Linked DNA regions of Caenorhabditis elegans. The protein of the gene in region 1 interacts with the protein of each later gene in a pairwise test. Each region holds a gene or a part of one and is shown on either strand. Other genes may lie near its edges.

Region 1 (16,910 bases):
TCCTATACTCATGTGCTATCTAGCCAGCTGCCACCAACAGTTGGTCATTCATCTTTTGAAGAGACTAGGAAAAAACACAGAAAGAACACTTAAATAGTGGCCCGGAATGGAAGGAAGATAGGCAAGTACTTGTGCAGATTTTTCCCCGTGGAATCTAGAATCTCTGAAAATTATCGAAAGCGTCCAAAAATCCACTTTTCGAGCAATTTGAAAAGGCTCGAGATTATTTCTTTTGACACTGAAAAATTAAGTTTCATGGATATTCTAAAACCAATAATTTCACAATTTGATTATCACATTTCCTCATTTGAGTTCATATACCTTTTGTTCTGCTAGAAACCAAATACCAAAATTTCACACCTCTTGACTCATAAATCCCCTAGTTGAATTCCATCCTTTGACAGTTTGGTTACCGCATTGCATCACACCTAATTAGACCAATTCCTTGTCACTGTCACACATTTCTAAACGGATTTGGCACCGTATGTTGAACGTTTTCAGGAGTACGGGCGGTATATTTGTATGATGATGCAAGTCTGTAATTAATCTTTCAAGACCGATCGGTGGGAGGAAGAGAGCAAGCGGTGCGGTTATTAATGAATAACAATATGGTTGGTGCCTAGGTGATGATTTGGTACAATAATTGGGTATATAGAAAGATATAGTAAAAAATATTTTCAACATTTTTCAACTTATTAAAAACTTTTCAATTAATTAATGAAGGAATATCGTTAAAGAGGATTTTTTCTAGATCTACCAATAGTTTTGGAAAAATTCCAAATTATTTTTTTTGCACATTGCCATAGTTTAATTTTTGACGAATTGTCCAAGCAAAACCTTTCAAATAAGGGTATTCCGAATAATTTTTTGTGAAGTGTTTCCTCTCCTGAACTTTTCCCAATTTTGTGATAATATGTCAAATAAACCAAATATTATTGCAACCAAATGCGCAAACATTCACATATATCGCGCATGTAATAATCATTAAATACACATGTACCTGTTACCATATATCTTTTTTATTGACAGATATCCTATATTTGTCTCTTCCCAGCAGGTGTTCATCGCCCTCTTCATGACTTCTGAATAAATACAGACCGGATGGATACAGTGTATCACTACAAGTATGCGCGAAAACTTTCAAGTATTACTAGAGCCACGTGTCATAGCTGTTGACCGTTAAATGAGCATGAGATGAGCTCAAGTGAGTGAGAGTACTTGTTGAGGATTAGCCCATTTGAGAAGGGAAATTGTAACAAGAGAATGGGTAACAGGAAGTTATGTAATCTTTATTGTTTCTTTTTTGTTCTGATTTAAGGAATTAACAAGCAGATGGAGACTAGTTGTCAACGTGTCAAGTGGAGATGGTTTATTTTTTGAATTCTCATGAGAGTCTTGGTTTAATAAAATGGAGAAACTTATGCAGGTTTAACGGTCTTTCTTTAATTGTATTTTTATTTGGAAGTTTATGCTCTCTCTAGTTTATTTTATTTGTTTGTTATTCTTTGCTCTGGCCTAACCTAAAAAAACCATTCATAATTTTCCGGTTGATCACCCTATTCTCTAAATACCGTAACCTAAGTCTTAATCACGTTCCGTCTGTTTCCATTTTCCCCTTTTCTTCATACCGAAACCTTGCTAATGCTCATCACTCATTCGAGCTGTGACCAAAAAAGAGCCGCCACCACAACCACCGTGCTCAACGAAAAATGGTGGGTGACGACGGGAAGGAAATCAAAACGATTTGACAGTTGAAGCATAGTGGAGAGAAAATGGGTGAAATACACGGAGGGATGGAACCAAGCGAGATGAAGATTTATTTATGTTCGACCCAATAGGAGATAATGGAAAAACAAAAAGAAAACAAACCAAAAAATAGAGAAAATTCTGGGGAAAACATAGCAATTGAAAAGAAAACCATCTCGAATTAAAATTGTAAGATGCTCGAAATACGATTTCCGGTCTTGACATGATTTATTTTTAATGGAAGTGTGTGCCTTTATGGAGTACTGTATTCCCCAACTCCTCATTGCGTTCAGTTTTCAAAAATGTTTTTACAGTATACTTTAAAAGTCCATACCTCTTTTGTCTTTAAAATGTAAAGTATTTTTAGACGAAAAAAGCGCAAAATCTCGTAGTTTATCAATTCTCGTCATCTTGCAATAACGGAAATCAAACTTATTTCACACCAATCGAATATTTTTTCAAAAAGTGTGACCATCTGCTCTGTGTTTCCATAAAAATCAATCACCTTGAATGCAGACGCGGAACAAAATCAAAGCATCAAATATGCAAATTTTTGTTTCTTTTTCAAAGTCGCACAGGGCGGCCATAATTATGTATGGTCTTGTCGAAGGAAAAGCTTTTGAACAAAATTGATGGAGTCACCTACGATTTTAAATTGTTATAAAACTGTTTAGGTAGTGCCAAAATGATTGTATGTATGAAATATTCTAATACTTTCCAGACTTTCAAAATTTACAATTTCAGTTAAAATTTGGTAAATTGCCAAATTCCGGGTTTTCTTCAATTTTTTGCGAAATACACAGAAATAACTTTTTGAATTTAAATTTAAATACAAACAATAGAAACATCATTGAAATATAATACCCGAGGAGAAGTAAATATATTTTTGGTAGAGTTCAAGAAATTATAATATTTGAAAACTGAATAATTGTAACTTTTTGGTGGTACTACAAAAGTTTTGAGATCCCATGTTAGTAAACTTGAAAGTAGTAAATAACTATTGTTATTATTCTTATTGTTACAATTAGTACTTGTTTACAACTTCTCATCTTTATCTACCAATTCAATGCAAAATGACATATTGGAAAGGGTCAATCAAAAGAGGAGCCTCTAGTTAAATGCAAAACACCAGTAGGGAAAGAAAGAGCACATTTATTTGGTATTTTTATGTTAAAAAATATCAAATTTCGATATAAACTCAATTATTTCTTCCAAGTTCTATCTCCTTTCTCTTTTTGTTTTGAGCAACAGTGCATGCACCACTAAAAGAGTACATGGAATACAAGCAGCTCTTAACAGATGGTATTACTGTAGATATTAGGGAGACGGAATGATGATTGACTTCTCCTCTTCTATTCAATTTCTATCGCTTCCTAATCTGATTGGCACTCATTTTGTTTGTCATCAAAAGACATATGCCGGCTCTCCCGAAAAAGGAGAAGACACCTAGTGCTCTTTCTCTCTGCGGGAAGCTTTCACCCCATCCCCAGTCTTTCGAGTGTTTGTATTTTGTTAATCAAGAGGCGACAATATGGAATGGGATTAGTGGATTTACAATAATATTTTTATTTTTCTGTTAGGGAAGTGTTGAGGGAAAAAATTTTTAAAGCAAAAACATGTTTAAAAACATACTTCTCGCCAACCGTATGATTATGCCATTATGGATTTTGTTCGAATATGCGTATACGCTATATATTTCAAAATATGTCCACTTTTCAATTACTGTACCACCTTGCAAATTTCTCTTTGTATTTGAGTTGGTTTTGATAAATTTAAAACTGGGTTCCTTTTAATATTAAAAAAATTTCTGGGTACGGTAGCTGAAAAGTTCCTCTTAAAGCTTCCTTTGAGGAGTACTGTAGCTTCATACTTTCTGTCTTTTTTTTCGCAATTTTTTGCGATTCTCTGAAAATTGCGACATGGGGAACTACGATAGATCTTGAAGGCCCCTTTTCGGCTGAAACTTTTTGGCCACTCCGAGGCCTGGTACCGTATTTCAAGCTAAAACCGCGGCCTTCCCAAACTGGATAATAAACCCAAACTCCTAAAAGCATAACTGGCATCTTAAAAGATTTCCAAAACTGTTTTGATATGCAAATTCGCTCTACAGTACTACTATATTTATAACACCCGCCAAAAAAGCTCATCGCAACAAGTTAATCCTCTAAACAATAAGAAACAGTGGGCAATCCTCTTAATATCTTCCCGCATGGTCAATGTGTGATATTTGCATTACAAAAAGGGCGATCTAGTGACGGCGCGGGATAAGAAGAAGTGTCGGGTGGTTGTAAACGTTGAGATTTTCTGAGAAGCCGACACAGTTTTATTATGCGGGAAACGAACAGACGGATCATTGTAAATTATACGAACAAAAAAGTGAGCAAAAGAGTTGGAAGTGAATCTTCGAGTGTGGGGTTCGAATAGGTTTCTTAGAAAATTGTGTTGAACACGTTGTGTCAAGATGTCCCAAGATGGTTTGCTATGCAATAGATACAGGAATCGTTAGCCCAGAAAAACAGAAATTTTAAGCCAGCTTCGGTAGATTTCTTCAAAAAAATTAAGAGCACAAAGTTCCAGAAAAAAGAAATTATCAGATACTCCATTCTCTATAACTTTATTTTCTCATTTACCACCCAACAGTTTGAGTAGTACTAGTAGGTGACCATTCATTTTTGCAGATGCCACGTGGCTGGCAGATGGTATCACGTACTCCATTGTAATGCATCCGGATGGTTTTTATTTATATTGCACCTATTTCCGCATACATACATGTATCACTTTAAAGGTACATGCCAAACTAAAATTAAAAATCTAAAAAATGTTAATACGAATTGTCTCGTTTTAATTAAATGTTTTCAAAAAAATTAGTTAGTGTAATCATAAATGTTAACTTTCGCTGCAAGACCACGTCTGAAAAATGCGTGCACCTTTAACCAGGCGTTCTCTTGTTTATTTAGTAATTGATAGGATCATCTTGATCCTTCAAACGAAAAAAGGGAAGTGTACACTTCATCCTTTAATTAATCCCTTATTTTGCCGCCAACATAATCCGTAGAAATGGTAACCGGATATACTCTGCACATCATTTTCTTTGAGGTGTCTTCTGTTCATATTGACACCTCCTGTTACGTAACACACAAGAGCTCTTTGTGCGGGAGAAGGTTGCGCCGAAATGTCGAATGGATTTGCATGAGGGGAATTACTAGATAAGAAGGGAGATGGAGAATACAATAAAACTATTTATGATTAACTGTAAGGCGAGACAAAATCATTAATAAGAATGCATAATTTCGGAGGTAACAAGGTGAAAATTATATGAAAATAAGATAATTCAACAGATCATTAAGAGAATAATGGTGAGGATAGCGAAATCGTGAAACAATATATTAAAAATTATGAAAAGTTGAAGCAAAATTAAAATTTCAAAGTTCCTCCTCATATTCCTCACTGTTTTCTCGTTTCTTTCCTATTGATGAACGAGAAGGTGACTTTCTTTGCGCTGAAAATGGAAAAAAGTAGAGAAATTAAACATTAATCTTTGGTTATAATGAGTTTAAAAAATAATTTCTCACTCACTTTTCTTTGTGCTTCCTCCATTTTTCGACGTACTCCCTATTGCTTGTTGTTGCTCTTCAGCAGCTGCAGCTACCGACAATTCAGCAAGCAAATCTAGCGGATTCTGAAAAATAATTTTTTTCCTATGATACTTCACAATATAAAAACAAATTTTACCTCTTGATCGGTGGAAGCAGCCGAAGAAGATGTAGACGCAGAGGGAACATTAGGTTTTGAATGAGAAATAGCTTGATTCGCTGCAATTGCGGCCGCCCGTGGTGTTCTTCCGGATGGAGTTGGTGTTGTCCGTTTTGTAGATGATTTTGGAGTTTTTGGACGATCTGAGAATTGAGAATATTATTAAAATATCAATCTTTATTAAATTACAAAGATTTTGGAAAAGTAGAATAACTAACCTATTTTCTCCTTTTCCTTTTCTGGAGATGGCACAGGTGCTGAAACATCTGATGATTTCTTTGCTGGAGGCTCTCCAGACACTGTCTCTGCAGAAGAAGAAGAAGTTGTATCGTGTATTAATGTAGCCTCCGAAGATGTTGATTCAGATGCCAAAGTTTCATCGATTTTCCGTTTATTGGAAGTTATTGTCATCGCAGCTGGTGCAACTTTTTCTATAACTTCTGGAGCTGGTGAAGGATTCGAAAATGATACATCTGATTGCGGATCCACTGATGATTCTGAACTTTTCGTCGGTTCTGGGACGCTTGTTGAAGCTGCAGAAGTTCCTTTTTGAGCGCCTCCCGCAGCTTTTGATGATTCTTTTGCACCGGGAGCACCGGCCTTTCTGCCTCCCTTTTCCGGTGAATTTCCAGCCATCAAGAGATCTATTTCATCTTGAGTTAGTGTTGAAAGATCCCGATTTCCAATTGACAAAAATGTTCGTACATTGATGTTTGCCAAACGTGGATCATGCTGAACTGTGTCCAATGCAGTATGCTGGGAGCTGAAAATAATTCAGAAATCAGAAGAAATCAGATTCTTTGAAGGTTTTGTGAATTTCGAATAATTTATAAATACAAACCCCGAAGCCACAGAACTTCTTGATGGACCAGCTACAGACGATGAACTTCCTGATCGAACAACCGTATAACTTGTTGTAACTCTTTGGGGTCCCATAAGACGGTAAGGTGGAACTGGAGTTTGTCGCCGAACAGCTTGAGGGCTCTGATTCATTGCTACTGGCATCATAGATCCTTGTCTTGGCGGAGAAATTAATTGAGGGCTTCCTTGTTGCGCTGACGGCGTCATTCCTGGTCTTTGGCCAGCCATTTGAGATCTGAAATCATGTAAACTTCAATTGAAATTGTAGAAACTTGAAAAATTTCCAGCTAACGGTGATAGTTTTCAGTTTATTGTTAGATTTCACGAAAAAATTACCTATAAGCTGGGCGAGTTCCGACATCGGCTGGATTAAGTCCTGCAGCTATAGCACGATGTGGTGCTATTGGAAGACGTGATGCTTGAGATCGAAAAGTTTGAGAAGATGTACCGGGTTGTGGTGATTTAGGAGGAGCCAATAGCTGAGATGATGATGTAGAAGTAGATGGAGTGAGTGGAGAGTGTTGGGCATGACGAGATGGAAGTTCAGCTGAAAATTCAAGATTAGATATTTTATTAACTAGACTTTTTTTTTACTTCTTCGATAGGCATTTTTATAATATGGAACACCGCGTCTCGATGGTTCTGGTCCTTGAAACATGGGTGATGGTCCAATATCATCTTCAATTGAATCTTGAGTTTGTTCTAATGGAATCATCTTCGGTTGCTGTGAACGAGCTGCATGAACTGGGAAACGAGGCTAGAAAATTATAAAATTGACACTTTTAGATTGGAAAAAATTATTATTTGGGACTAGGGCCTGTAGATTTTTGGTTTTTTTTTAAATGTTTTGCCGAAAATTTATTCTTCGTTTTTTTCGAAAATAAAAGTGAGCCAAAAACGTAAATTCTGATATACTGAAAACCTTAAAAATTTTTAAATTTTCCTTTCTCTCAAAAAAAAACAGTCATTCCCATTTTTAAAAGAGTGCAATTTTTATCCAGATATTAAAATTTTTCCGAATCACGTTTCAATATTACAACATTTTTCGTCTTTTTTTCGGTTTTGTCGCCAAATACCTAACGAGACCCATGACTCGGGGGCGGAGCGTATTGAAATGTACGTGGAGCTTGTTTGAATAATATTACCTGTGGAAGAGGCCGTGTAGCCGAGCTCGTAGATTGATTTTTCCATCCTTGAAAATTCATTTTTCCAGGTGACGAATTGTACGCTGTCGATATTATCGATGGCATTTTCTTTTGTGATTGTTGATGGAATTGATAAGAATTTGGAGATGTCCCAAATGATGGAGAACGTCTTGGTGGTAGTCGTTGTTCTGGAATTATAAATAATTGAAATTTTCCAATTTTAATCGTAAACTAACTCTTCTTTCCTCCACCAAACTGACTTGCATCAATAGGTCGAACTCTGAAATCACTATTATCTCTCTAAAAGTACATTCATCGTAAAATCAAGACCCACCTTGCACACGTTTGAGACATCATCTCTTCTTCTTGCATTTTTAATTTCTGTTGCTCGTGGAGCTGCTGTGATGTCATCGGAGGAGTTCTGTTAGCTTTTGGTTGATATGGTACTTGATTAATTCCTGGAGGTGGTCCCATTTGTGGTGGCCGGAGTACTTGAGCCGGTGGACCTTGATAACGACGGGGTAATGGAGCAGTTAATGTATTCGATTGATTTGAAAATTGTTGCATTGGGGAAACCATCTGTAACTTTTTTAAATGTTAGAATATTAAACGGCTCAAATAGGTTCAAAATCACCTCAAAAACCGAATTTCACAAACCTTTGAAAAAAAGCGCAAAAAAATGCAGAAAACAGAAAAAACCCAACTTTTTTTGGTCCAGCAAATAGAATAAAGCTTTTCACCTATTGTTACATTTTGTGGTAGTTTATTTCTTGTTCATACGTTGATTTAGGTACACTTAAAGGTGATAGGTTTCCTAAAATCATTGAAACTAGACAAGTTAGACCGAAATTTGGCAAAAATGATCACAATCGCTCAAAAAAACCCTTCTCCAAAATTGATAACTGCTGCGACACGGACAACCTCGTGAAATTTTATATTTCAGAAAATTTGAATTTGTTCAAAATTTTGAAAAAAAAACCTCGCTACAAAACTTTTTGGAAATTTTTGAGAAGTGAAAATCGGCTGCTTGAGGTCATTTTGGGAATATCAAAATCTAAATTGATCGGTTTTTTCTCTTTTAACTCAAAAATGTCTGAAAAACAAACCGATTCGATTCTTGACAAGTTTCCCAGTGTAGGCTCGTCGTCGTCGGATGAATTCAAATAGCAGGTTATCTAAAAATAACGACTTAAAAAATGTTTTTCTATAATTGAAAAAAAAACAATTTACCGAATTTTTCTCATCTTTCGGGGAAGCATGTTCACCAGGTTGGACACACCGATTACACGGGCAAGACGTAGTTTCAGCTATTGCAGAACTTTCTGGAAATTTTTTTAAAATCAGATTTTTTCAAAATGATTTGGCACTCACTTATATGGAACGAACATTTCGGATCAACTCCTCCAATTGCAGTAAGACCACATGCATTGCAGACATCGAACATTTTTTGAGAACGATCCAGTATAATATCTGGACTTTGAATTTGTAAGCCACGAAAAAATATTTTTAAAACTTACGATCAAAGCAAAATTTGCTAAGATGAAGCGCCGGCTTGTTACATTGCTTTTCAGAGTCGATTGGTTCAAAATTGTCAATTTTATCCAAAATAGAGTGCATTGTGTGTACAATAACTAAAGAATCATCCATATCTGGTCCAACACAACATTGATGGAATACTGGATCAATTGTCTAAAAAAATATCAATAGAATAATGAAACATTTTCAGAATTCATTACCGTCAATGTCAGATAGTCATTCCTTGAGTATTTTGTGGATGCTTTGAAAATTCTTCGCTGGGCCATATCTGTTGGATAATCTGAAAAACGCAATAAATTTCATCGAAAATGCCTATTAAATTGAATTACCTTCTTCTTCATCATTTCCTAACAATTCATGCTCTTTTTGTGCTTGACTTGTGACCAATTCTTTAAATTCAATTAAATCGTCAATATCCTTTTGTACTAAATCCATCTTGATATTCAATATATCTTTGTCAGTATAGTATTCAGCGTATCTGAAATTTCGAATTTATTTTTCTAATTCCCAAGAAAAATAATTAATAAGAATACCTTAACGAATTATTATCCAATATATCATCATTTGCCACATCTGGAAGACGCTGAGGAACTGTTTGAGCAGCTTGGAGGTAGTCGTCATCGTCTCTGGAAATTGTTATTTTCAATTTCAAAAAAAAAACTTTACTTACGAAATATACTCATTTGATGCAATCCACGGATCAAAACGACGTCTTTGCATCTTTGAATCATTTTCCGCATGGCACCGCATCACTTCTTTCTTATGATTATTTTCTAACGTTTTTGAAAATTCGACGTGCTCTTCACAACGGCCGCCATGTTTCGCAAGTTCTTCTTTTGATCGTATCTAAAATTTTAAATTTGAAAAAAAGCTTACTATCAAATTTTCGTATTTTTTCTCACCTGCTTACACCGAACAAGCGTTCGATACGAAGCATAATTACATTGTCCATACTTATTTTTGTCGTATTCATTGGCAACAAGACGGAATCGTGTTCCAGGTGCAACTATATATTGAGCAGGAGGACGAGTTGTTTGTTTCATGCTGCTTAAAAATAAAAATGGAAAATTGAGTCAAAAAGTTGAGATAAAACAAATTAAAACAATTTTCTGAAAAATAAACAACTGAAATTTGAAGTAATAAACAACACGCGAAAACGTTATTTCGGAGCATCGTTTGAGAAGTAAAACTTTTTTTCGGCGCACCCTTGTGCGCAGTTTTTATCTTCTCTTTTAATTTAATTTTCAAGCTAAATCTTTCTTTTTAAACTTTGAATAAATATTTAAATATTCAGAATGCACCAATAAACCTGGAACAAAATCGATAATGTTCCGCAAGCTTGGTTCTTCTGGGTCACTATGGAAGCCGAAAAATCCGCATTCTTTGGAATACCTCAAATATTTACAAGGAGTGCTCACAAAAAATGAGAAAGTTACGGAAAACAATAAGAAAATATTAGTAGAAGCATTACGAGCTATCGCAGAAATTCTCATTTGGGGCGATCAGAATGATGCTTCGGTTTTTGAGTGAGTTTTTTTCCAATGTTTTTTTTCAAATCTGATGTTGAATTTCAGTTTCTTCCTTGAGCGGCAAATGCTTCTTTATTTCTTGAAAATTATGGAACAAGGAAACACACCACTAAATGTACAATTACTGCAGACTTTGAACATTTTATTCGAAAATATTCGACATGAAACTTCACTTTGTAAGTTTTTTATATGGATTTTCGCTTAAAATTGCCAGTTTTCAGATTTCCTTCTAAGTAACAATCATGTAAACTCGATTATTTCCCACAAATTCGATTTACAAAATGATGAGATCATGGCTTACTACATTAGTTTTCTGAAAACTCTTTCATTTAAACTGAATCCAGCTACAATCCACTTCTTCTTCAATGAAACGACTGAAGAATTTCCATTGTTGGTAGAAGTTTTGAAGCTTTATAATTGGAATGAATCAATGGTTCGAATTGCTGTTAGAAATATTCTTTTAAATATTGTGAGAGTTCAAGATGATTCAATGATTATTTTCGCTATCAAGCATACAAAAGTTAGTAGAAAATTATTTTGAAAAGGTGTATTTAAGCAATAAATATTACAGGAATATCTATCGGAGTTAATAGATTCTCTAGTTGGTCTCTCACTTGAAATGGACACATTTGTACGATCTGCTGAGAATGTGTTAGCTAATCGAGAGAGATTACGAGGAAAAGTGGATGATTTAATTGATTTGATTCATTATATTGGTGAACTATTGGATGTGGAAGCTGTCGCCGAAAGTTTATCAATTTTAGGTCAGTTTTACTGCTGGAAAATCAAGTTTTTAATGTTAAATTTTCAGTAACAACACGATACTTAAGCCCTCTATTACTTTCAAGTATATCACCAAGAAGAGATAATCATTCACTTCTACTCACTCCGATTTCTGCGTTATTTTTTTTCTCTGAATTTTTATTGGTGAGTTTTAACATTTAAAATTACATTTTTCTAATTTATTTATTTTTCAGATAGTTCGTCACCATGAAACAATATATACATTTTTATCATCTTTCCTATTTGACACTCAGAATACTTTGACGACCCATTGGATACGTCATAATGAGAAATATTGCTTAGAACCGATTACATTATCATCACCAACCGGAGAATATGTGAATGAAGACCAGTAAGAGCTGAAATTTTAAAATTTTTGCTTTGAATATAGTATTTTCAGCGTATTTTTCGATTTTCTACTGGAAGCATTTGATTCCAGTCAAGCAGACGATTCGAAGGCATTCTATGGATTAATGCTGATTTATTCAATGTTTCAGAATAATGGTGAGTTTTAAAAAATTGATTTGTTAAATTAAAATTTCCATTTCCAATAACTCCTCTTCAGACAGTAAGTTTTCAATGTTGTAAAGTTCCTGTTCATCTGTGATCGTTTTCTTCATTTTTTTAGTTTTGCATGAACAGTTTTCAAATTTTTTTGATATCATACAGTAAATATCGTCATCCAGATAATTTTCTATTTAAAAAAAATGAATAAAAAGAGGGCGCGCAGAAATTGCCGAAGTAATGTAAATTTAAAGGGACACATGCGTAGCTTGTTGTGTGGGTCTCGCCGCGCTTTGTTTGATTTATCTTGTTTTCTGCTCAAAGAGCTGTTTTTATTTTAGCGTTGAATGCTTTTTTACCGTTCTCATCGGCTTTTTAATAGGAATATTTAAAAAAAAAGGTTTAATAAATCTTCGTTTTTACAAAATCCATCTAAGATTTGCATTTGTGAAGCTCAACAAGTAAAGTTTTAAGTAACATTGTTTTTTAAAAAACAATTGAACCAAATTTTGCCGAAACATTAATAACATGACGATACTCTATAAAATATTCCTCTTTTCAAAATAAATTTTCAAAAAAAATCCATTTTTCAGCCGATGTTGGAGAACTTCTATCTGCTGCCAACTTCCCAGTGCTCAAAGAATCAACGACAACTTCATTAGCTCAACAGAATCTTGCTCGTCTCCGAATAGCATCTACGTCTTCCATATCAAAGCGAACGAGAGCTATCACTGAAATTGGAGTAGAAGCGACCGAGGAAGATGAGATTTTTCATGATGTTCCTGAAGAACAAACGTTGGTAAGTAAATAAATCAACATTGATTGTTACACAAACTTTAATATTTTTAAATTTGAAAATTTTCTTCAAAGTGCTCAAAAATCCTGTCGAAAATTACAGGAAGATCTGGTGGATGATGTATTGGTTGATACTGAAAATTCAGCAATAAGTGATCCAGAAGTGAGTAGAAAACGTGCATGTATTAATTATTAAAAAAAAAATATAGTTTTCCCCAGTTTTCCTTGACCTAAAACTCAGCAATTTCAGCCTAAAAACGTGGAGTCAGAATCTCGTTCTCGATTTCAATCTGCTGTTGATGAGCTTCCACCTCCGTCGACTTCTGGATGTGATGGTCGACTTTTTGATGCACTTTCATCGATTATCAAAGCAGTTGGAACAGATGACAATCGAATTCGACCAATTACATTGGAACTTGCATGTCTTGTAATTCGGCAAATTTTAATGACTGTTGATGATGAAAAAGTAAGATTACAAATTCAAAATTGAGCAAAATCAGAATCTAAATTTCATAAATTGTTCAGGTACATACCAGTTTAACGAAATTATGCTTCGAAGTTCGTCTAAAACTTTTATCATCAATTGGACAATATGTTAATGGAGAGAATCTGTTTTTGGAGTGGTTTGAGGATGAATATGCAGAATTTGAAGTAAGCCAAGAGGTCCGAAAATAATTTAATTCATCCTTTTTATTCAGGTGAATCACGTGAATTTCGATATAATCGGTCACGAAATGCTTCTTCCTCCAGCTGCAACTCCTCTTTCGAATCTGCTACTTCATAAGCGATTGCCCAGTGGATTTGAAGAACGAATAAGAACTGTAGGAAACTTTTTAAATTTGAAAATTAATTATATATATATTTGCAGCAAATCGTATTCTACCTACATATTCGAAAATTGGAACGAGATTTGACCGGTGAAGGAGACACAGAATTACCTGTGAGAGTGTTGAATTCTGATCAGGAACCAGTTGCCATCGGTGATTGTATTAATTTACGTGAGTTCATCTGCATAGAAAACACCATATTTCTACTCAAATTAACAATTTTCAGATAATTCGGATCTTCTATCCTGCACTGTGGTTCCTCAACAACTATGTTCTCTTGGAAAACCTGGTGATCGTCTTGCTCGATTCCTTGTCACTGATAGACTTCAATTAATTCTTGTCGAACCGGATTCTCGAAAAGCCGGATGGGCAATTGTTCGATTCGTAGGACTTCTTCAAGATACAACAATTAATGGAGATTCTACGGATTCGAAAGTTTTGCATGTTGTGGTGGAAGGGCAACCCTCGAGAATTAAGGTAAGAATACTAACGGGAAAAAAAAATCAAAAAATTACTTCTGTTTCAGAAAAGACATCCGGTTTTAACTGCAAAGTTCATATTCGATGATCACATTCGGTGTATGGCAGCAAAGCAACGGCTCACCAAGGTAACGGAAAAAATAACCAAAAAGACGGAAAGTTATTGTAAATGGACGAAATCGGCGAAATTAATTGAAAACGTTTGAATTTGCCGCTAAAACCAAACGAAAACCAAACGAAAGCGAAATTTAACTATCCCTTCAGGTAGAATATACATTTTATTTCTCTTTATAGGGTCGCCAAACAGCACGTGGTCTGAAACTTCAGGCGATATGTTCAGCTCTTGGAGTTCCACGTATCGATCCAGCGACAATGACGTCATCACCACGAATGAATCCATTCAGAATTGTGAAAGGATGCGCACCGGGAAGTGTACGAAAAACTGTTTCCACATCATCATCGTCAAGCCAAGGACGTCCCGGACATTATTCTGCAAATCTTAGATCAGCATCTAGAAATGCAGGAATGATACCAGATGATCCAACTCAACCGAGTAGTTCTTCGGAAAGAAGATCCTAGGGATCAATATCTCTTCAGTTTCATCATTTTATGCTGTAAATTGTATTTAAGTATTCCTATTCTTTGTAGTACTGTATTTACACATCGTCTAGTTAAAATCACAAATCTCCGAAAAAACAAACCAGTGAACATGTGATATTTCTCTTGCCCATAGTTCTCTTTTTTTTTTGAAACAAAAACAATTACTTTTATGCTCACCTATTCGAGCCATATTTTTTTCCCAATTACCGGTTGTTTATTTTAATTTCTTTTTTTTTTCTGTAAATCTACTTTATTTTTAAAACTGCATTTGAGATTGTGTATATTTTTTCAAAATGGTTCAAATGCCGAATCTATCTACTTTTTAATCATTATTCAAACAGAAAAACCGATTATTTATTCAGATTCTCAAAAATGGCTGAAAAAGCTGAAAATCTTCCATCTTCTTCGGCCGAAGCTTCAGAAGAGCCATCACCTCAAACTGGACCAAATGTGAATCAAAAACCATCGATTTTGGTTCTTGGAATGGCTGGTTCTGGAAAAACGACATTTGTTCAGGTAACTTTCATTCAATTTTGAGAGTTTTCAAACATTACTATTTTCAGCGTCTCACAGCATTCCTACATGCTCGTAAAACACCTCCATATGTGATTAATCTGGATCCGGCAGTTAGCAAAGTACCTTATCCAGTGAATGTTGACATTCGAGATACTGTGAAATACAAGGAAGTTATGAAAGAATTCGGAATGGGACCAAATGGAGCAATTATGACATGTCTTAACCTGATGTGTACTCGTTTTGATAAAGTAATTGAGTTGATTAATAAGAGATCTTCTGATTTCTCAGTTTGTCTTCTTGATACTCCTGGACAAATTGAAGCATTCACTTGGAGTGCTAGTGGATCTATTATCACTGATTCATTGGCAAGTAGCCATCCCACGGTAAGGGATTTTGATTTATGAAATCTGCTTGAAATGAAAAAAGATTCTAATAAATTTTTGACTTTTAAACATTTTTTACAGTTATATTTGGTCTATTTTCTATCATTAAAAGCAAAATGAAAAGTCGATTCTACTCCATATTTATTAATTTCGACTTTTCAGGTGGTAATGTACATTGTGGATTCCGCTCGTGCCACAAATCCAACTACATTCATGTCCAATATGCTCTACGCATGTTCCATTCTCTACCGTACCAAACTTCCATTCATTGTCGTTTTCAACAAAGCTGATATTGTCAAACCAACATTTGCACTCAAATGGATGCAAGATTTCGAAAGATTTGATGAAGCTTTAGAGGATGCCAGAAGCAGTTATATGAATGATTTGAGTCGTTCATTGAGTCTCGTTCTTGATGAATTCTATTGCGGACTGAAAACAGGTTTTTATTCGAAATAAAACCTTTTTTAAATAATAAATTTCAGTTTGCGTCAGTTCTGCAACTGGAGAAGGATTCGAAGATGTAATGACAGCAATCGATGAAAGTGTTGAAGCATACAAAAAAGAATATGTTCCAATGTATGAAAAAGTGTTGGCTGAGAAAAAACTATTGGATGAGGAGGAGAGAAAGAAAAGAGATGAAGAGGTAATTGTAGTAATTTAATTCTGATTATCTTCAAATTTTCAGACTCTGAAAGGAAAAGCTGTTCACGACCTGAACAAAGTCGCCAATCCCGACGAATTTCTGGAGTCGGAGTTGAATTCAAAAATCGATAGAATTCATTTGGGCGGAGTCGATGAAGAGAATGAGGAGGATGCTGAACTCGAAAGATCCTGATTTTCTTTTTGTTTTTGAATTTTTATTCTATTTTGATCCCTGTTTACTTCTTATTGTTCTCATTTTGTTGCGTTGTTTTACATTTTACTCATTTTTGCATAAACTTGTTGCAAAAATCAATATAATTTTTGATCTGGAAATGGTTTTAAACCTTAACCTTTCATATATTAATAATTTTTTTTCAAAAAAACGTTCTAAAAAGGTTCCTCATTTTTTCAATATAGGAAATTTTGAAGATCTTTTCCAAAAATGAGGTTCTTCGCTTGAAAAGCCAACATTTAAAACCTTTTTTTTTCCAGAAACCTAGTGGTTAATGTCTGAAAAGACGTTCCACAAGGCACAGACCATCCGTGCAAAGGCATCCGGAGTGCCTTCAATCGTCGAAGCTGTACAGTTTCATGGAGTTCGCATCACAAAAAACGATGCTTTGGTTAAGGAGGTACTACCCAAATTTCAAAATGTTGCACAATTCAATTGAAAATATAAATTGTGAATTAAATTCAACTTACATGTTTTTTCAGGTTTCCGAATTATACAGAAGTAAAAATCTAGATGAACTTGTTCATAACTCTCATCTGGCGGCTCGTCATCTTCAAGAAGTTGGATTAATGGATAATG
Region 2 (16,981 bases), on another chromosome or scaffold:
CGTACAGCGAGCCTTGGGATCAACGACAAGCAATCTTCCAATCAAATCTCGTGCACCCTTCTTCACAGAATCAGGGTAAGTAAACCGTGCCGCTTTGATTGCCGCATATGTCTTGGACTGATCTTCGTGCTCGAATGGGGGTTTTCCAACGAGAAACTCATAGCAGAGAACGCCGATTGCCCATAAGTCAACTGCGTCACTGTGATCGGCTCCATTCACCATTTCAGGAGGGAGATAGTCCATTGTTCCGCACATTGTTTGGCGCCTGAAAACATGACAGTGAATTTTTGGAAACATCTAGATTTCCTAAATTTGAGGATAAACTCACTTATTCGAAGGAGCATGAACACTCCATCCAAAATCTCCAATTTTCAATTCTCCTTGTGATCCGATAAGCAAATTCTCCGGTTTAATGTCGCGATGAATCACATTTTTCCTGTGGCAATATGACAAAGCATCTGCGATCTCATACATATATTTTGCAGCTGTTGGCTCTGAGAATCTCTTGCTCACTGTCAATTGCTTGTACATTTCGCCTCCGGGGGCATATTCCAAAACGAGATAGATCTTCTTCGCATCCCAAAAATATGTGTAGAGCTTGATAATATTCGGGTGATTCAAATGAGATTGAATCTCAATTTCACGCTCCAATTGATGCTCGACGCCTCCTGAGATGAGTTGCGATTTGAATAGAACCTGAAAATATGTATGGGTAAAACGGATGTCAGAAAAATGATAATTCAAATAAATACAAAATAAATCAATATGTTACCTTGATCGCTACATGGAAATGTCCAGTTTTTGTGCGAGCCAGGTAAACACTGCCGAATTTTCCTTTTCCCAGTGGTCTTCCGATCTCGAAATCGTTAATAGTAAATTTTCTGTAAAATCAAGAATAATTTATAAACTTTTAAAACCTTGATTTCTTACCCTCCCTTCTGTGGAGTATTCACAGTTTCCTTCTCTGGAAGGTTGATTACAGGTGGCTTATTCTCCATGTCGGAACTGAAAAGTTTTTTATGAAGAAATAAAATAGACGGCACGATTAAGGACAAATTAACTAAAAGAAAACATCACGATAAATTTATAAATTGAATTAATTAGAAGTTCAATGGCCCAATTTTTAATTGAATACATTTAGATATTTATGTAGAATAAAAATAGGACTAATTCTGCTTTGATTTCAAAAAAAAGTGAGAAATCAACACATTACCTGAGTAAATATGTTTACAAAAAACGAGTTTTGATTGCAAATAATTCTAAAGAAACTAAAAATTGTCAGCTGGATAGTAAGGAGAAATGCAAGCCGTTTAAATAAAAAATTAACGCGGCAAAATGCAATGGTCCGCAATATGTCGTCATGTACGGTGTAAATGCGTACTTGGCCCTGTGCCAGGCCCGTTTATCCTGCTTTTTTGTTTGTTTTAAATTAAATTAAATTGTATTTATATATTTTTGTTCTTCTTAAATGTTTTCCTATCAAAACAATCCGTAGAAAATTAAGATTCAACTAGAAAATTTCAGTACTCATTGGACTATGTACGGAGTTCTTGTAATTGGAGCTCCTGGAGCTGGAAAATCTACATTTTGTGCAGGATTAACGGACATTTTCTCACAAACCAAACGACCATTTCTCACTATCAATCTTGATCCTGCTAATGACACAATGGCATACGCACCTGATGTAAATATCACTGTAAGTATTTTATTCCAATGAATATAGGACAATAATTATGAAACGTGGTACAGATCATCTATCAATGTTATTTTAATACTTAAGGTCATATTTTTCATTTAAAATACTAAAGTTTAGGAAATGATCACTGTGAATGATGTAATGGATCGACTTGGACTTGGACCAAATGGAGCTCTCAAATACTGTATTGAAACACTTGGAGCTAATTGTAATTGGCTCCTCCAGGTAATTTTTTTGGCAGAAAAAGTTAATTCTCAAAAGCTAAAAATTGTTTTCACAACAATTGAGCTAAAATCTGGAATTCTCTAAATTTGAATCGAGAAAATCGGAAATCATTTTTAACCTCTTTGTAGTTTTAATATTCAATTAAATCTTTTTTCAGAAAATCGAAGCGAATCACAAGAAATATCTGATAATTGATTGTCCCGGACAGTTGGAACTATACAAAAGCGAAGGCGAACTATGGAAAGTTATCCGCTTTTTGGAAAAATCCGGTGTTAGACTATGTGCCTTACATCTTGCCGATTCACTTTACTGCAGTGACCCATCGAAATTCATTTCTGTTGCATTATCCACATTAGGTAAGAGTTCATTAAGATTAAAAAAAAATTGAAATACTTTTCTTGTCTCTCGACCCGAAATTTCCAAATATAATTCAGCTGATTTCCTCCAAAAAATGAAAATTTATTTTTGTTCTGTACAATTTTGAAACTCCATGGGCCTTTATGTATTTCTGGCTAAGAAATGCAATATCTTTCTGGCACATAAAACTTTCATTTAATCTGAAACCTATTTTTGTTATTTATTTGATTTTAGATGGAAAAAATTGAAATTCGGAACCACTTTAAATTTTGTGTGGCTGAAAGGAACAAATTAAAATTATATTCATTAAAAAGCTTCAATTTCAGCGACAATGGTAACAATGGAGATGCCACAAGTAAACTGTCTGTCAAAAGCAGATCTTTTCTCTGAAGACGGGACCTATGATCTCGAGTTTTTCTCCCATTTACCTGATGTCAATCGACTTTTGGATCTTTTGAATGAAGTTCCCGGATTGGAAAAATATCGAAAATTGAATGAAGCAATTTGTGGAGTTATTAGCGATTTCGACCTCGTTTCATTTGTACCACTTGCCGTTGAAAATAAGGAATCAATGATGAAAGTTATTCAAATGGTTGATGCTGCAAATGGATTCTCATTAACTGAACAAGGAGATATTCGAGAACTTATTCTTAATTCAAAAGCCTAGATTTTCTACCAAATCGTTTTGTTTGCTTTTTGCAAATCTTGTTGTTTTTCCTGCTTTCTCTCAAAGTAATTTTTTACCCAATACCGGTTATCCTTGCGCATGTTCTCACTTGTTAAGATTTTCATTTCGAAAAGTCATCAAGAAACCAATAAATATTCATTATCATCAATTAATCATACATCACAATCTTATTCTGGGACGAGCTCTTCACTTTTTCCACTCGACCTCACATTTCTATCTTTATGATATTTTTCCATTTTTCTCGAAGATCTTGCTCTTCTACTTGATCGCGTTTTTTCTCTGCGACCGTCGTTCTGAAAATGTTTTGATTGAAATTGAGAATTAAACTTTTTAGAGAAATTGGAAATTACAATCATTTTCTAAATTTTGCGATCTCAAAACGATCGAAAGTTTCAAATTGAAAATTTATAAAAGAATTTGCGACTTTAAGGAGTATGGTAGTTTCCACTCTCCACCGAATTCCAAAATTTCCTTTATTACGCGGACACGAAAATTTGCTATTTATTGGGCCAAAAATGTGGAACTCGGTGTCTCCACGACGAATTTTTGTTAAGCCTGATAAGTTGTACGCCTTTAAAGAGTACTGTAATTTCATATTTTGTTGCTGAATCGATTTTTCATTGTTCTTCTATAAAAACACACTTAAAAAACTAATAATAAAAATAAAAGAAAATGAGAGGGACTATGAAAAATTGATGAAAATTCGGTAGCAACGAAAGTTGGAAATTACAGTAATCTTCAAATGCGCACATATTTTGTACAGTTCTGCTTAAAGGTACCATTTTTCACACACTCTAATTGAAAAAAATACTTGGCACGTTTCGAGACCGGGTATATCAATCATAAACAAGACTTTAACTCACCCGATCACTATTATCATTTCCATCATTAGATGACCTCCTTCGTGGTTTTATTATGCTTCCAAGATTCATATTTCTGCCATCTGTAATTCGAAAATTTAATACTAGGAAAATTGAATTTATATGTCTAGGGATGAGGATTTCCGTCATTTCTTATGCGCATGGGTCTCGGGTAACAAATTACTGTCGATATACCGACCGAAGGCTTTTAAATAAGAAGTTGATGGACACCAATTCCAGTAATCCTTTTTCTGCCTGGCGAGTCCCATGTGGGTAAGATATGGTGAAAACTTTCATCTTTAGATATCAACGTAATATTAAAAAAAAAACTAACCATTTCTGCCATCTCGCCTTTTATTAGTTCCTTTATTCCTCGTTCTCGTCTCTTCATCACTTCCTGATCTTTCTCTTGAATCTCCATGATCTTTGTTGTTGTCATCTGAAGATTTGTCAACTGAGAAATGACCTCCTTTAAAAGAACCTCTCTGGCTAATAACGAGTTTTGTGTTCTTACCAGGAGGTGGAACTCCGTCGTTTTCTGGAGTTGAGTTGTGTTTGGGCATCATCATGTTATCACCATCCGATGTTTCTGTTTTCATCAGCTTCCGCTTTCCATCCACCATTTTATAGAATCGTTTTGTCTTTTTAGTTCCCATCAGTTTTTGACCATCATCTTCCATAGGACCACCTGGCACTTTTTCTTCCTTCACGAGTTTCCGATTTCCATCCTTATCAATAGTATATGATCTTCTAGTTTTCTTGGACCAAATCATTTTTCCATCTCCTTCGCCATCGGATGAAAGATCTCCTGGTACATTTTCCTCTTTTATCAGTTCTTTCTCTCCATTTGCATCATATCTATAAGTCTTCTTCCGCTTCATCATTTTCACAACGTGTGTTCCATCTTGAGAATCATCTCCACTTTCATCATCTCCCATCTTCTGAAGCTCCTGTTTTCCATCCCGACCGAGTTTGTATATTCTTTTTGTTTTCTCGATTCTCTCCCCATCCAACGGTTCCGGACTATAACTGCTCTTTTTTGTTCCAAGTTGACCCATTGGGATTTCTTCTTCTCTCAAAAGCTCGCGTTTTCCATCAGCTCCCACTTTATAGAACCTCTTCCTTTTTTTCATCATAATTTCTTCAGAACCTTCACCATCCTGATCATGAGACATCGAACCTTCTCCAGTTAAATAAGCCTTCTTTTTTGACATTTTAATTATTTCTGAACCATCATTGGACGGATCATTGGCAATAACTCCCATCTTCTTCTTTTTTGTCAAAAGTTTGAACTCTTCATCTTCACTTTCCTCTGGCATGCTTTGTGGTTTTTCGATTTGATATTCCTTTCTTTTCATAACTTTCACAGACTCTCCATTCTCATCTTCATCGGGTATTTCTGAACCTTTTCGGTACAGCCTATTGTTTTTTCCAATCACCAGCTTCCCATCTCGATCATGACTAGGTAACGCTTGATCATCCGAGCTCTTTTCAATTTTTTCACCATTTGGACCTATTCGATATGTTCTCTTCTTTGTGATCTTAATCTGCTCCCCATTTTCACCTTGTCCAGGAACATCTCCTTCAGTTTTTATCAGCACTCGTTTTCCATCAACAATTTTATAAAACTTCTTCCTCTTGAATAGTTTAATCTGTTCATCTTGATCTTCTCCTGGTTCATCTTTTGAGATTTTTCTCGATCGACGCGATTCGTCCTCGTCCTCGTAAATTTTTTCACCGTTCTGTCCAATTCTGTAGAACTTTTTCTTCGTTATTTTCACAGATTCTCCATCTTCATCTTGCTCGGGAATATCTTCCTCTGTCCGTATCAATACTCTCTTTCCATTCACAATTCGATAAAAGTTCTTCTTCTTGAAAAGTTGAACATCCTCGTCTTGATCTTTTCCTGGATGATCGGATGTTTTTCTCCTGAATTGTGGCTCATCTTCATTTCCGTCATAAGGTATCTTTTGCCCATTTGGTCCAATTTTAAACGATTTCTTTTTTGTGATCTTAACGATTTCGCCGTTTCCATCATTTTCTCCGGTTGGCTTATCACGTGCTCCAAGATATAATTGTTTTCTTTTCAATAGCTTAATCTCCTCGTTTTCATCTTCATCGTCTGGAGTGTCTCTCTTCTCGCCATATTTGAAAATTTTTTTCTTGGTGATAGCAACTGATTCGCCTTGATCATCGGGCAATCGAGGAGTCGGATCGGATATCGATCCTCCAGAAACCTTTTTGATAACAGTTGTTTCTCCATTTGGTTGTTCTCTATCAGGTCTACTTCCTTTTCTTTCGAACTCTTCACTTTCTTCTCCGAACCTTGGTTTTCTTCTTCCCAATTCTTCACTTTCCTCTTCATATTCTGGCTTTCTTCTCCTTCGGAACGTATCTTCTCGATTTTTCCATTTCTTTTGATTTTTCTCTTTTCTGTGATTCTCTTCCTCATGCGATCCTCCAATTTTATAGAATTCAGAGTTTCTTTCAGTAATTGAAGGTTTGGCACTCTTTCTTCCTGGCTTGTGAGCCCATCTGAAAATCTTTGGAGCTCTTCCTCTTACAGCAACTCTTCTATTCACCAGCTCCTCTCCTTCTTCCTCATCATCAGGCCGATCGTTTCTCTCAAAGTATTGTCTCTTTCGATTTCTAACAATGATCTTCCCATCATCTTCAACATTTTCTTCGTTATCAAAGTTCTCCTTTTCTTCATTTCCAAACTTCATCACCTTCAGTTTTTTGACAACTCTGACCTCATGTTCTTCTTCTGGCTCTTCCTCTTGCATTCTCCGTACTATTACCAACTTCTTTCTGTGACTCTTCAGTCGAACTCCCTTGAAATCATCTTCTTCTCCTTCAACAATTTTCCGAGTTACTTCTCGAATGTCGGGCTCTTCTCCAGAATCCGTGAAGCTTGGTCTCTTTCTGATTTTTCTAGGATTTCCACGGACCTTCACAAATCCTTCAAATTCAATGTAACTTTTTGGCTTATTCTCTCGAACATCCACAAATTCATCATCTTCATCATCAGGTCTTGAGTATTTTCGAAGTGGACGCCTAGACTTTTCAACTTTTACCAGAGTAATCACTTCTGGGTATTCTTCTTCATCATAATAGTATTCTGGCTCAGCAGGGGTAGTTGTAGTTGTTGTTGTCGATTTCATTTTACGAACTTTCCGAGGAACCATCACAGTTTTACGGGTGATCTTAAAGTCAGGACCGCCAATTTCTTGAACAACAGCTTCTTCCCCAGGGATTCCGGTTCCAAAGTGTTTTCGAATTCTGACTTCCCTCAATGTTGCGTTTGGTAATCTTCTGTTTTTTACAAGCTTCACTATTTCAACAGGTTCCTCGTCTGGAACTGTCTTCGTTCGATATGAATGAGGATGCTTCTTAGTGACAGATAACAGAACAACTTCTTCTTTTGGACCAATCCTCTTTCTCGGTCTTCTCATAATTTCTTCAACGTCTTCTGAATCATCAACATCTGGCTCTGGCTCTCTTGTCTTCATAATCATTTTTCTCACTTCAATCACACCACCTTCATCTTCTTCATCTGGTATATTAGATGGACGACGTCTTGTTGGAATTCTATGAATAACTTTCTTCACAAGTATAACTCCTCCTTCAGATTCTGAATCATCACCAGGTGATCCTTTGATAACTCTCTTCCGAATGCCTGTAGTAATTCTCACTCCAAAATCTTCATTTCCCTCCAAAAGTCCTTCATCGTCGTCTGGCCGAAGATGCTCATGAATCTCTAGCTTCTCTACAAGGACCCTCTCCCCACGAGGTGTCGGTGGAATAGTTGGGTTTATAATGATCTTCTTCTCCAGTTTGATAGTTTTTGGTTCTTGCAGACATTCTTTCACCCATTTAGCGTAATCATCTTCATTAAGATCATCCGTATTTATTCCCGAACATTTGAGAGATTGACGTCGTGGTGGAGGAGGTTGTGTGGATGCTGTTTCTCGAGTACGGCACCGTTTCAGATATTCTTCAATCTGGAACAAAAACACTCATTACTTTAAGATAAAAACAAGTGTCTCAAGTTTCTAATTTCTACCAAACATCTTATGATTGAGTCATCTTGCTTTTCTTCATCAGAATAAACTTGCCTCTGTATAAGAAAGTTTTGACATGTCAACATTATGGCAATCAATTGATGTCTTCCTTTCAACAGGCTTCGGAGTCGAAGGATGTCCCAAGCATCGAACTTCATATTCAGAATATTCATCATCTGACATTCCATCAACATCTCGATTGTAACATCCATCTTTTACTGGCACATTCTCCTTGTTAATCACCAATTTCTTAACGAGAACCACAGATGCATCAGGTTTTTGACATTCTCGCTGGTATTTTGAGTACTGAAATTTTCTAGAATAATTTTTTGAAGCCCAAAACAGGAATTGATACTTTAAAAGTGTATTCACATGCTGTTGGTAGTTTGGAAATGAAAAATGAAAAACTTCTTGGATACAGAATTTTTAGATAAATCCAAATACAATCAAGGTTCAAGCAGTCAAAGCTGGGTGCAAGACTAATAGAGGAAAAAGGAAAGTGATGTCAATTATTTGAATGCTCACCTCATCTCTTGATAAATTAGTTGTATCAACAGTACTGCAATCATATCGGAAAAGTGGATGAGTTAAACATTTTTTCTCGAATTCGGAATATTCTTCATCAGTCATCCTATCAACATCTTGATCGTAACAACTGAATTTTTCTTTACCAGTTCTTATCTTCACTTTCTTTGTCAGAATTATATTCTCTCCAGGACGATATCTATCGGTTGTAACTTTCACGTTACAATGTTTTTTGAAATCTGAATATTCCTCTTCACTCATCATACTTTCATCTACAATTGAACAATCAATTCGTTTTCGAATTTTAGTGGGCGGAGTGTCTGACGGAGTTGTTTCTTTGACGCATCGAGATTTGTATTTAGCGTACTGAAAATGTCGAGAATAATTAAAAATTGACAGAGATATGAAATTCAATTTCTAACCTCTATTCTGCTCAACTCCTCGACCTTTACGTCGTCACATGAATCAATAACTTTTGTAACTTTAGTTGTAGTCTTTTTACATTTCTTTCTATATTCCTCATATTCTTGTGCATTCATTCGTTCAACTTTTGCATCTTTGCATTCGAATTCTGGTCTTTGTCTACATTCTTTTTGGAATCTTGAGTACTCCTTGTCAGATAATGTATCTACATCAACAGTTTCACAGTTGAACGGCTTCTTGCTACATGCTTTTCGAAACTTTTTGAACTGAAAATAGATAATTAAATAATTCAGTTTCGTGAAGACTATCAAGCAAAAAAACTCACTTCCTCATCACTCATGTTGCTAACATCCAAATTACAATTGAATTGGAATGTTTTTCGGAATCCAAGACATTTTTCTTTGAACTTTTCATATTCTGCGTCCGGCATTTTGTTGATATCTTGACCAGAGCACCAATCAAATTCATCTGGGGAATCTCCAGGCTTAGTCGGTGGTTCAACAATCTTTATAATTTTAGTGAGTTCAACATGTGGTTTTCTAGAGCATTCCTGTCTGAATTGTTGGTATTCTTCTTTTGTCATATCATCCGTGTTTTTATTCTGACAGCCATCTCCTACTTCGACGGTTTTCGTAATTTTGACTCCTGTGGGATTATTCGGGCATCTTCGGATATATGATCTATATTCTTTGTCCGTTAACTCATCAATATTGACTTTGGAACAATTTTCATCTGGAGGATTAGTTGATTTCCTTGGATTCCGCAGACACTTCTTTTTGTATTCAGCATACTAAAAACATTAATTATAATTATAAGATACGTTTCATGAATCATATTTTCTAGATCTTGTAGTATGATCACATTACAATCAACTTTTAATTATCACAAAACCAACAAAAAATTCAGTTCAGAGTGAACATTTCAGTTTGAAAACAAAGTATGCCGAAAAAACTCTAGGAGATTCAAATTTTTAAGAATACACCAGATCAATGTTTTGACTGTTTTGAACAAAATTTTTCAGTTGCTCCAGTTGTTCATATGGAAATAAATTTAGTAATTTCACAATTCATGACACTTTTTCTTTGAAGATTATTTATTTCCCAAAGGACTGCTACACAAGAAAACCCAAATACCTCATCAGCCGTCAGTTCTTCAACTTTGACGTCTCTGCAGTTTTCAGAAGGTGAAGATCCTGGTGGTCTTTCACGTGGATTTTCTGGACGTTTTGGTGTACCACAACGTTTTTTGTAGGCGACAAACTGAAAAAGATAATCCTGGATTATATGAAAAATTGGAACCGGCCTACTTCCTCTGCATCCATCTCTTCAACATTGATATCTTTACACTTCATTTCTTCTGTTTCAGACGGTGGCGGATCTTCTTGAAATGTGCACTTCTCGTTGTACTTTTCCAATTCTTCACCCGACAATTTCGTTTCATCAATATCAGCACAATCTGGTGAAGTGGTCTTTCTTGTTGGTCTACATTTTCTTCGATACTCGTTGTACTCTGTGTCGCTCAGTTTTGCGATGTTAATGTTTGAACAGTCTTCGATAACTGGTCGTCTCTTTCCACATCTCTTTTTGTATGCTCTATACTCCTCTTCTGATAACTTGTTGGTATCCACGTCATCACAATCATGTCTTTCAGGTTGAGATTCACACCTTCTCTTGTACTCTTTATATTCCGATTTGGAAAGTTTTGATGTATTAATCGAAGAACAGTAATCGGAATTTCCAGGTTTCTCCACGCGTATTGTTTTTTCAATTGTCACAGGTGGTCTTCCAGTCTCCCCGCCTGAAGGTGTACTTCCATCTTTTGGTGGTTTATTGATTACTACCGTCTTTTTGATAGTAACGGATTCTTCCGGAACCTTAGTATTTCCACATCTTCTCTTGAAGTCAGCATACTGAAAATATAAAAATAACCTTTAAACGTGAAGTGGATACTACATGACAGAACATCGGATTAGAATGCTCTAACTTTTTTTTTAGATTTTTGAAAATTTCAGTTAGTTTTGGTAAGTCCCAAATTTTGTAAATGTTGTACTGGAGTAATTGTGAACAAATACCAGCAGCGCTACCCCACCTATTAACTGAATTAATTTCACTCGCTTACCTCTTTTTCTGTAAGATCTTTGACACGAATGTTAGAACAGTCATCTTCAGGTGTATATGTAGACATGCATCTCTTCTTATATAATCTGTATTCTTCATCTGACAATTTATTGACATCAACTTCATCACAGTCAGGTTTTGGAGTTTTTCTCTCTTTTCCACATCTCTTCTTGTATGCTCTATACTCCTCTTCTGACATTTTGTTAGTGTCCACGTCATCACAGTCGGGTCTTGCACATTTTCTCTTATACTCCTTGTATTCCGCTAAGGTAAGTTTTGCTACGTTTACTGATGAACAGTTATCTGGATTACGCGGCTCTTCTGGTCCTGGAGGATTATTCTCAATTAGTTCCTTCTTAATCACAACTGTGGGCTCTTCAGGATTTGATTCTCGATTTCCTGGAGTTTCTGGTGCACTGAGGCAGCGCTTTTTGAAAGCAACATACTGAAAAACTATTGTGAGAGGTTCTATGAGCCGGATAGAAAATATGAACTAGTCTTTAATTTTTTCAAAATCTTAAGTTTTTTTTTTCAAAAATTAGATTTAACTACTAGCTTAACATCCTCGAAAATGGGTAGTTCTTTATATTGAAAAAAAGTGCTCACTAAAAAATTGTTATTTATAAAATTTTTTAGAAATTTTTATGGCAATGCATTAAACTAACTTCCTCGGCTGTCAATTCTTCTATTTTGACAGTATAACAGTCCTCTCTATTTGGTTTTTCCGGTCTTTTAGGTGTTCCACAATTATTTTTGTAGTCCCGATATTCTTCTCCTGAAAGTTTTGTGACGTCCACACTATCACAATCAGGCTTTGGAGTGTGTCTCTCTTTTCCACATTTCTTCTTGTACATTCTGTATTCCTCATTTGACAACTTATTAGTGTCAACGTCATCACAATCTAGTTTTGGAGTTTTTCTTTCAAGAACAGATTCACATTTTTTCTTATACTCTTTGTATTCTGACTCGGAAAGTTCTGATGGATTGACTGAAGCGCAGTAATCTGATTTTTCAGGATCATCTGGTCCGGGTGTATTTTTCACAATGACTGTCTTCTCGACATTTGGTTCATTTCCATCTTTGGGCGGTTTATTGATTACTACTGTTTTAGTAATTGAAACAGATTCTCCCGGATCCTTTTCGTCAGTTGATCCGCATCTCTTCTTGAAGTCGGAGTACTAAAAAATTAGTTTCTTTTTTTATTTGAGAAATGCGAATTAAAACAGGAGTTGCGCTATTGGGAATATTCTATAAATACTATAAGTTTTGCCAAAGTGCAAAACATACGAAAACTTCTTGAACCCCTACCATGTTCAAAAACACGAAGTCTAATTTAAATATTATCTTTAAATATTATTATACCTCTCCTTCAAAAGAACCACATTTTTTGCCGAGCTTCTTGTAATCAACTGAAAACTATAATCTTGCTCAAACCGCATTTTATCCTTTTTTGCTAAGTTTTAGTTTGTGAAAAATTTGGTATAGATTTGAAATGAGTGAACGCTTAAGTGACCTGATTTTACTCTTTGATCTAGTATTAACAGAGTACACTAACAAAGTTTTAATAGTTAAAAAATTTAATAAAAGTGTGATATTTCCCTTACCTCGTCTTCTGTAAGATCCTTGACATTAACATTGGAACAATTATCTTTTGGAGTTTTCTTCACTTGACATCTCTTCTTGTACATTCTGTATTCCTCATCTGACAAATTGTTGGTGTCGACGTCGTCACAATCTGGTTTTGGAGTTTTCCTCTCTTTTCCACACTTTTTCTTGTATTCCTCATATTCCGAGTCGGAGAGTTTTGAAGGGTTGATTGAACCACAGTCATCTGGATTCTTGGGACCGGTAGGATTTATGATGACTGTTTTTTCAATAGTAACTGACGGTTTTTGCCTGTCCCCATTTGGAGGAGCATTGCCATCTTCAGACGTTGATCCACATTTCTTTTTGTAGATTTTATATTCTTCATCAGAAAGTTTACTAGTATCCTTTATGCTACACTCTGGAGTCTTTCTTCTTGGCTTCTTTTCACAATTTCTTAGATATTCATTATACTGTTCTACAGATAATGAATCAACATTTACGTCATCACATACTTCACTTCGAATCTTCTTTCCACACTTTTTCTTGTATTCCTTGTATTCTTTATCACTGAGTTTATCCACATTCACCGTTGAGCAATTCATTGGTGCTCCACCACCTGGTTCTTGTCTTTCTTTAGAAGGAATCACACTGCTCAGACAATTTTTCTTGTATTCTTCATATTCGGAATTTGATAAAACCTCGACGTCAATGTTTTTGCAATTTGGAAGAGTTGTGTCGACCGGATTTCCACAAAGAGTAATGTGTTTCAAGAACTGAAAAGAAAAAATTAAAAATCTAAAGTAGAGACTACATTATGGCTGTTTTAAATTTTAGAAAAAGGTCAATTTGGCAAATATCTAAAGTTTTGCCAATTTTTCAGTGTAGCAGCGGCCAGAATGAATTCACATAAATCAACAAAAAACGCAAAATAAAAATAATAGCAAGCATCAGCTATAAGGGCAAGTTGGCAAAATTTCAGATTATCGATAAACTTACCATTTTTCTAAAACTTCTGAGCGCCATACAATTTAAAACTTCGCTGTTCCCCTGATAAATATTTCTAACGTACCTCTTTCCTACTCATTTCCACTAAATCCTTCGAGTCACAATCAGTGTCACTTGCGTTACTTTCCTTTGGACGGCGTCTTCCACATTTTTTCAGATACTTCTTGTACTCTTCCCTGCTCAATTCATTTAAAACAATATCCTTGCAACTCTTATGAGTATAGTCAATTCTGCATCGACGTTTATATTGAAGGTACTGTAAAATTTCAAAATGAGTGTTCTAGGTTTCATCAGGAATTGAAATAAAAAACGAACTTCTTGTTCACTGAGCTCATTCACATTCACATTATCACAGTTGTCTGAAACTTTTCCGCATTTCAATTCATAATTTTTGAATTCTTCCAATGTCATATTTTCAGTGTCAGCTTCTTCACATTTGAATTCTGTTGATGGACGTAGGCGTGGTTTGCATTTTAATCGATATTCATTGTACACTTTCCTAACAAGACGACGAGTTTTGAGCATTGAGCAAGCATTTATTGGTTCCAAGCATTTTTCAGCAAAATCTCCATACTAAAATGTAAAGAGAAATTAATTGTGTGAAAGAAACATTTGAAAAATCGGAATTTGTACCCCAAAACGTACCATTCTCTCTCCCAACTTCTCCACCACAATATCCTTGCAATCTTTATCCAATTCGTTAGTGTCTCCTTCACATCTTTTCTCATAAACTTTTTGTTGTTTCTTTGTCAATACATTTTTTCGTTCTATTCCACAGAACAGTCCACATTTGTTGACATATTCTTGAAGCTTATGATCACTGAGCTTATCGACACGGATTTCATCGCAATCATCTCCTTCGAAATTAACTTTGCAGCGTTTTTTGTAGTCGTTGTACTACAAATTTCTATATGAGACGTTTTTTTTTTTCATAGGATAAATAGTGCAGTTGCGTGAATAGGGATTTCGCTATAGAATGCTTAATGTAGTTTGAAATTAGAAAATCAAAAAAGAAAATGAGAAAATCGAGACAGATCGCAAACTCTAACATAAAAAACGTTAATTTTCATGTTTGAATTTCCTCCATAAAAAGCTCTCCAGGACCAATCATCAATATATATAGAGTGTATAGGGTTCAACGAAAATCGCTAATTGGTTTCAAAGGAATTTCAAGTAAAGTGGTCTGTCAAAAATGCAAAATCCTTGCATCCATATAAAACAATTTGAGCAATTTCAAACTATTTCGATTATATTAAAAAGCGATTTCCCATTCAAGTTGTTCCACCACCATTAAATATATAAACTCTTGCACCAACCTCATCTTCACTCAATTGATCTACATTTCCAACAGAATCACAGTTGAATTCTCTTCTCACACAATCACTTCTAAACTTTTCATAATCCTCATCACTGTGATCCTTCATATTCACATTTCTGCAGTCTTGTGTGTCTTTCAAACAAACTTTCTCGAATCTTCTATATTGTTTTTGGGTCAGTTTTCTAGCATCAGCCGTTGAACAGTTGACCACCTTGTCGAGACAATAGCGTTTGTATTTTTTGTACTGAAACTATGGAAATCGTTCCATAAAATTAAAAAAATTACTAGAAAGTGTTACCTCTTTTTTGCTCAATTCATCCGGTTTAATATAGGAACAATCCAATTTAGTCCAGATACACTTCCTCTCATATTCCTTGTATTTTTCTATTGCGACCTCATCAACTTTCATATCTCTACAATCTGGAGTACTTCGAACACATTCTTTTTGATATTTCTTCATCAGTTTTTCACTGAGATTTTTTGGCTCAACAGTTTCACAATCAAAGTTTTCAACAAGGCACTCTTCTGAGAATTTCGCATACTCATCATAGCTCATATCATTCGTAATCCGATCTTTACAGTCAGGGCTTGGACTTAGACATTTTTCCTCGAATATTAAGTACAGTTTTCTTGAAAGTGTTCTAGGATCCGTGTTCGGACAATCAAAATCGTTTCCAGGTCGATTGAGACATTCTCGTTGATATACTTTGTACTGCAAACTAGTTTTTAAAGTGAGTTCACGGAAGTGTTGAAACCCCTAAAAATTTGGAGACTTACCTCTTCATCAGTCAATTCATCAACATTGCCCATGGAACTACAATCGATTGATTTTAGACATTCACTTCTAAACTTTTCGTGCTCCTTGTCATTCTGATCCTTCACATTAACATTTCTGCAGTCTTTTGTGTCTTTCAAACAAACTTTCTCGAATCGTCGATATTGTTTTTGAGTCAATTCTCTAGGATCCACTGTTGAGCAGTTGATCTTCTTGTTAAGGCAATTTCTTTCGTATTTTGCATACTAAAATTTATAATTAAATTAGTGTTTGAAAAACGTTTTTCATTGTAAAACATTATACAGCTTATCTTAAAAATTAATCAAATATAATAAATGGACTACTCAAAACAGAAAATGCTTCAAAAGTGCTTTCTATGCCAAAGCGAGCTCCGAGATAAATCGACAAAAATCACGATGGCTTTTGCGTGATCCTCCGTTTTAAAGCTATGGAATGGGATTTTAAATAAATTGAATTCTTTATCTGTACTAGAATAATGTTCTCTTAGGCATATCAGCCTTCCCACGGGATAGGTCGAAACCTTCTACTATCTGATTGTACTACTGTAATGTAGACACTTCTACCTACGTGATTTTTCTTACCTCTTCTCCAGTCAAGTCTTTTGGATTGATTTTTGCGCAATCTTCTGCAGTTCTGCATTCTTCTTTATATCTTTGGTATTCTGTGTCACTCAATTCATCTGGACTCACACTATGACAATCCATTGGTGGTATTTCAGTACATTGCCGTTTATACTCAGCATACTGAAACACAAAGTAATATCAGCTTTCCATATGAGGTGTTCTCATAAAAGGATATTTACAAACTAACATTAAATAATTGTGTTCAATCTTATTAAACTTACGTCTTTATCATTCAGTTTCTCAGCATTCGCAGTTTTACAGAAGTTGGGAGGATACACATGCGGTGGAGATTGTGGAGATGGATGAAGACATTCTTTTTCGTAGACAGATCGCTGAAAGGTTCATGTAAACATCTGTAGGAAGCTAAAAGCAATTCAAACTGCTCGGATTTTCGGGGAGTACTAGTGTAGAGAAGCTATAGCCATGAAAGCAACTACCTACTGTGAACATGTTGTAAAAAACTGGAAGAAAACGTTCGATTCCTTACTTGAAACTACGGAATGTGAATTTTTGAGATACCGTACCCGCGCTTCTTTCGCTATATTTTTCTCTAGTTGTTGAGTTTTTTCGTTGTAAGAACTAAATATTTTTGAAAAAATAATTGGAATCGTGACAGATATTGAGAGAAACTTGTCAAATAAAGGGTGTAAAGAATTGGAGTTTTCCGCAAACACGTAATATTTTGCCAAACAAATTT

Evidence for each region.
Region 2: the proteins of gop-2 (region 1) and B0207.6 interact in a two-hybrid assay, tested with the Caenorhabditis elegans proteins (one large-scale study listed by BioGRID).

Annotation. Positions count from the first base shown.
Region 1 is NC_003281.10:5,244,103-5,261,012, forward strand, and holds gop-2 (GPN-loop GTPase 1), read left to right. Parts: upstream 1-14,920; 5' UTR 14,921-14,930; coding exon 14,931-15,074; intron 15,075-15,121; coding exon 15,122-15,457; intron 15,458-15,619; coding exon 15,620-15,896; intron 15,897-15,939; coding exon 15,940-16,100; intron 16,101-16,142; coding exon 16,143-16,292; 3' UTR 16,293-16,410; downstream 16,411-16,910. Other genes in the region: Protein sumv-1, read right to left, coding at 5,169-5,245, 5,323-5,425, 5,479-5,642, 5,718-6,262, 6,341-6,595, 6,697-6,907, 6,955-7,117, 7,506-7,693 and 11 more; gop-1 (Protein CLEC16A homolog), read left to right, coding at 10,368-10,567, 10,616-10,746, 10,792-11,090, 11,142-11,334, 11,382-11,497, 11,548-11,705, 11,754-11,857, 12,451-12,656 and 8 more; SAM50-like protein gop-3, read left to right, coding at 16,606-16,731, 16,814-16,910. UniProt on the Caenorhabditis elegans protein: Small GTPase required for proper nuclear import of RNA polymerase II (RNAPII). May act at an RNAP assembly step prior to nuclear import.
Region 2 is NC_003279.8:5,921,501-5,938,481, reverse strand, and holds B0207.6 (GPN-loop GTPase 2), read left to right. Parts: upstream 1-1,524; 5' UTR 1,525-1,537; coding exon 1,538-1,696; intron 1,697-1,813; coding exon 1,814-1,921; intron 1,922-2,078; coding exon 2,079-2,277; intron 2,278-2,604; coding exon 2,605-2,945; 3' UTR 2,946-3,112; downstream 3,113-16,981. Other genes in the region: air-2 (Aurora/IPL1-related protein kinase 2), read right to left, coding at 1-265, 329-696, 773-881, 931-998; B0207.5 (SUEL-type lectin domain-containing protein), read right to left, coding at 3,134-3,259, 3,830-3,909, 4,161-4,295, 4,341-7,830, 7,945-8,196, 8,416-8,781, 8,838-9,104, 9,164-9,628 and 13 more.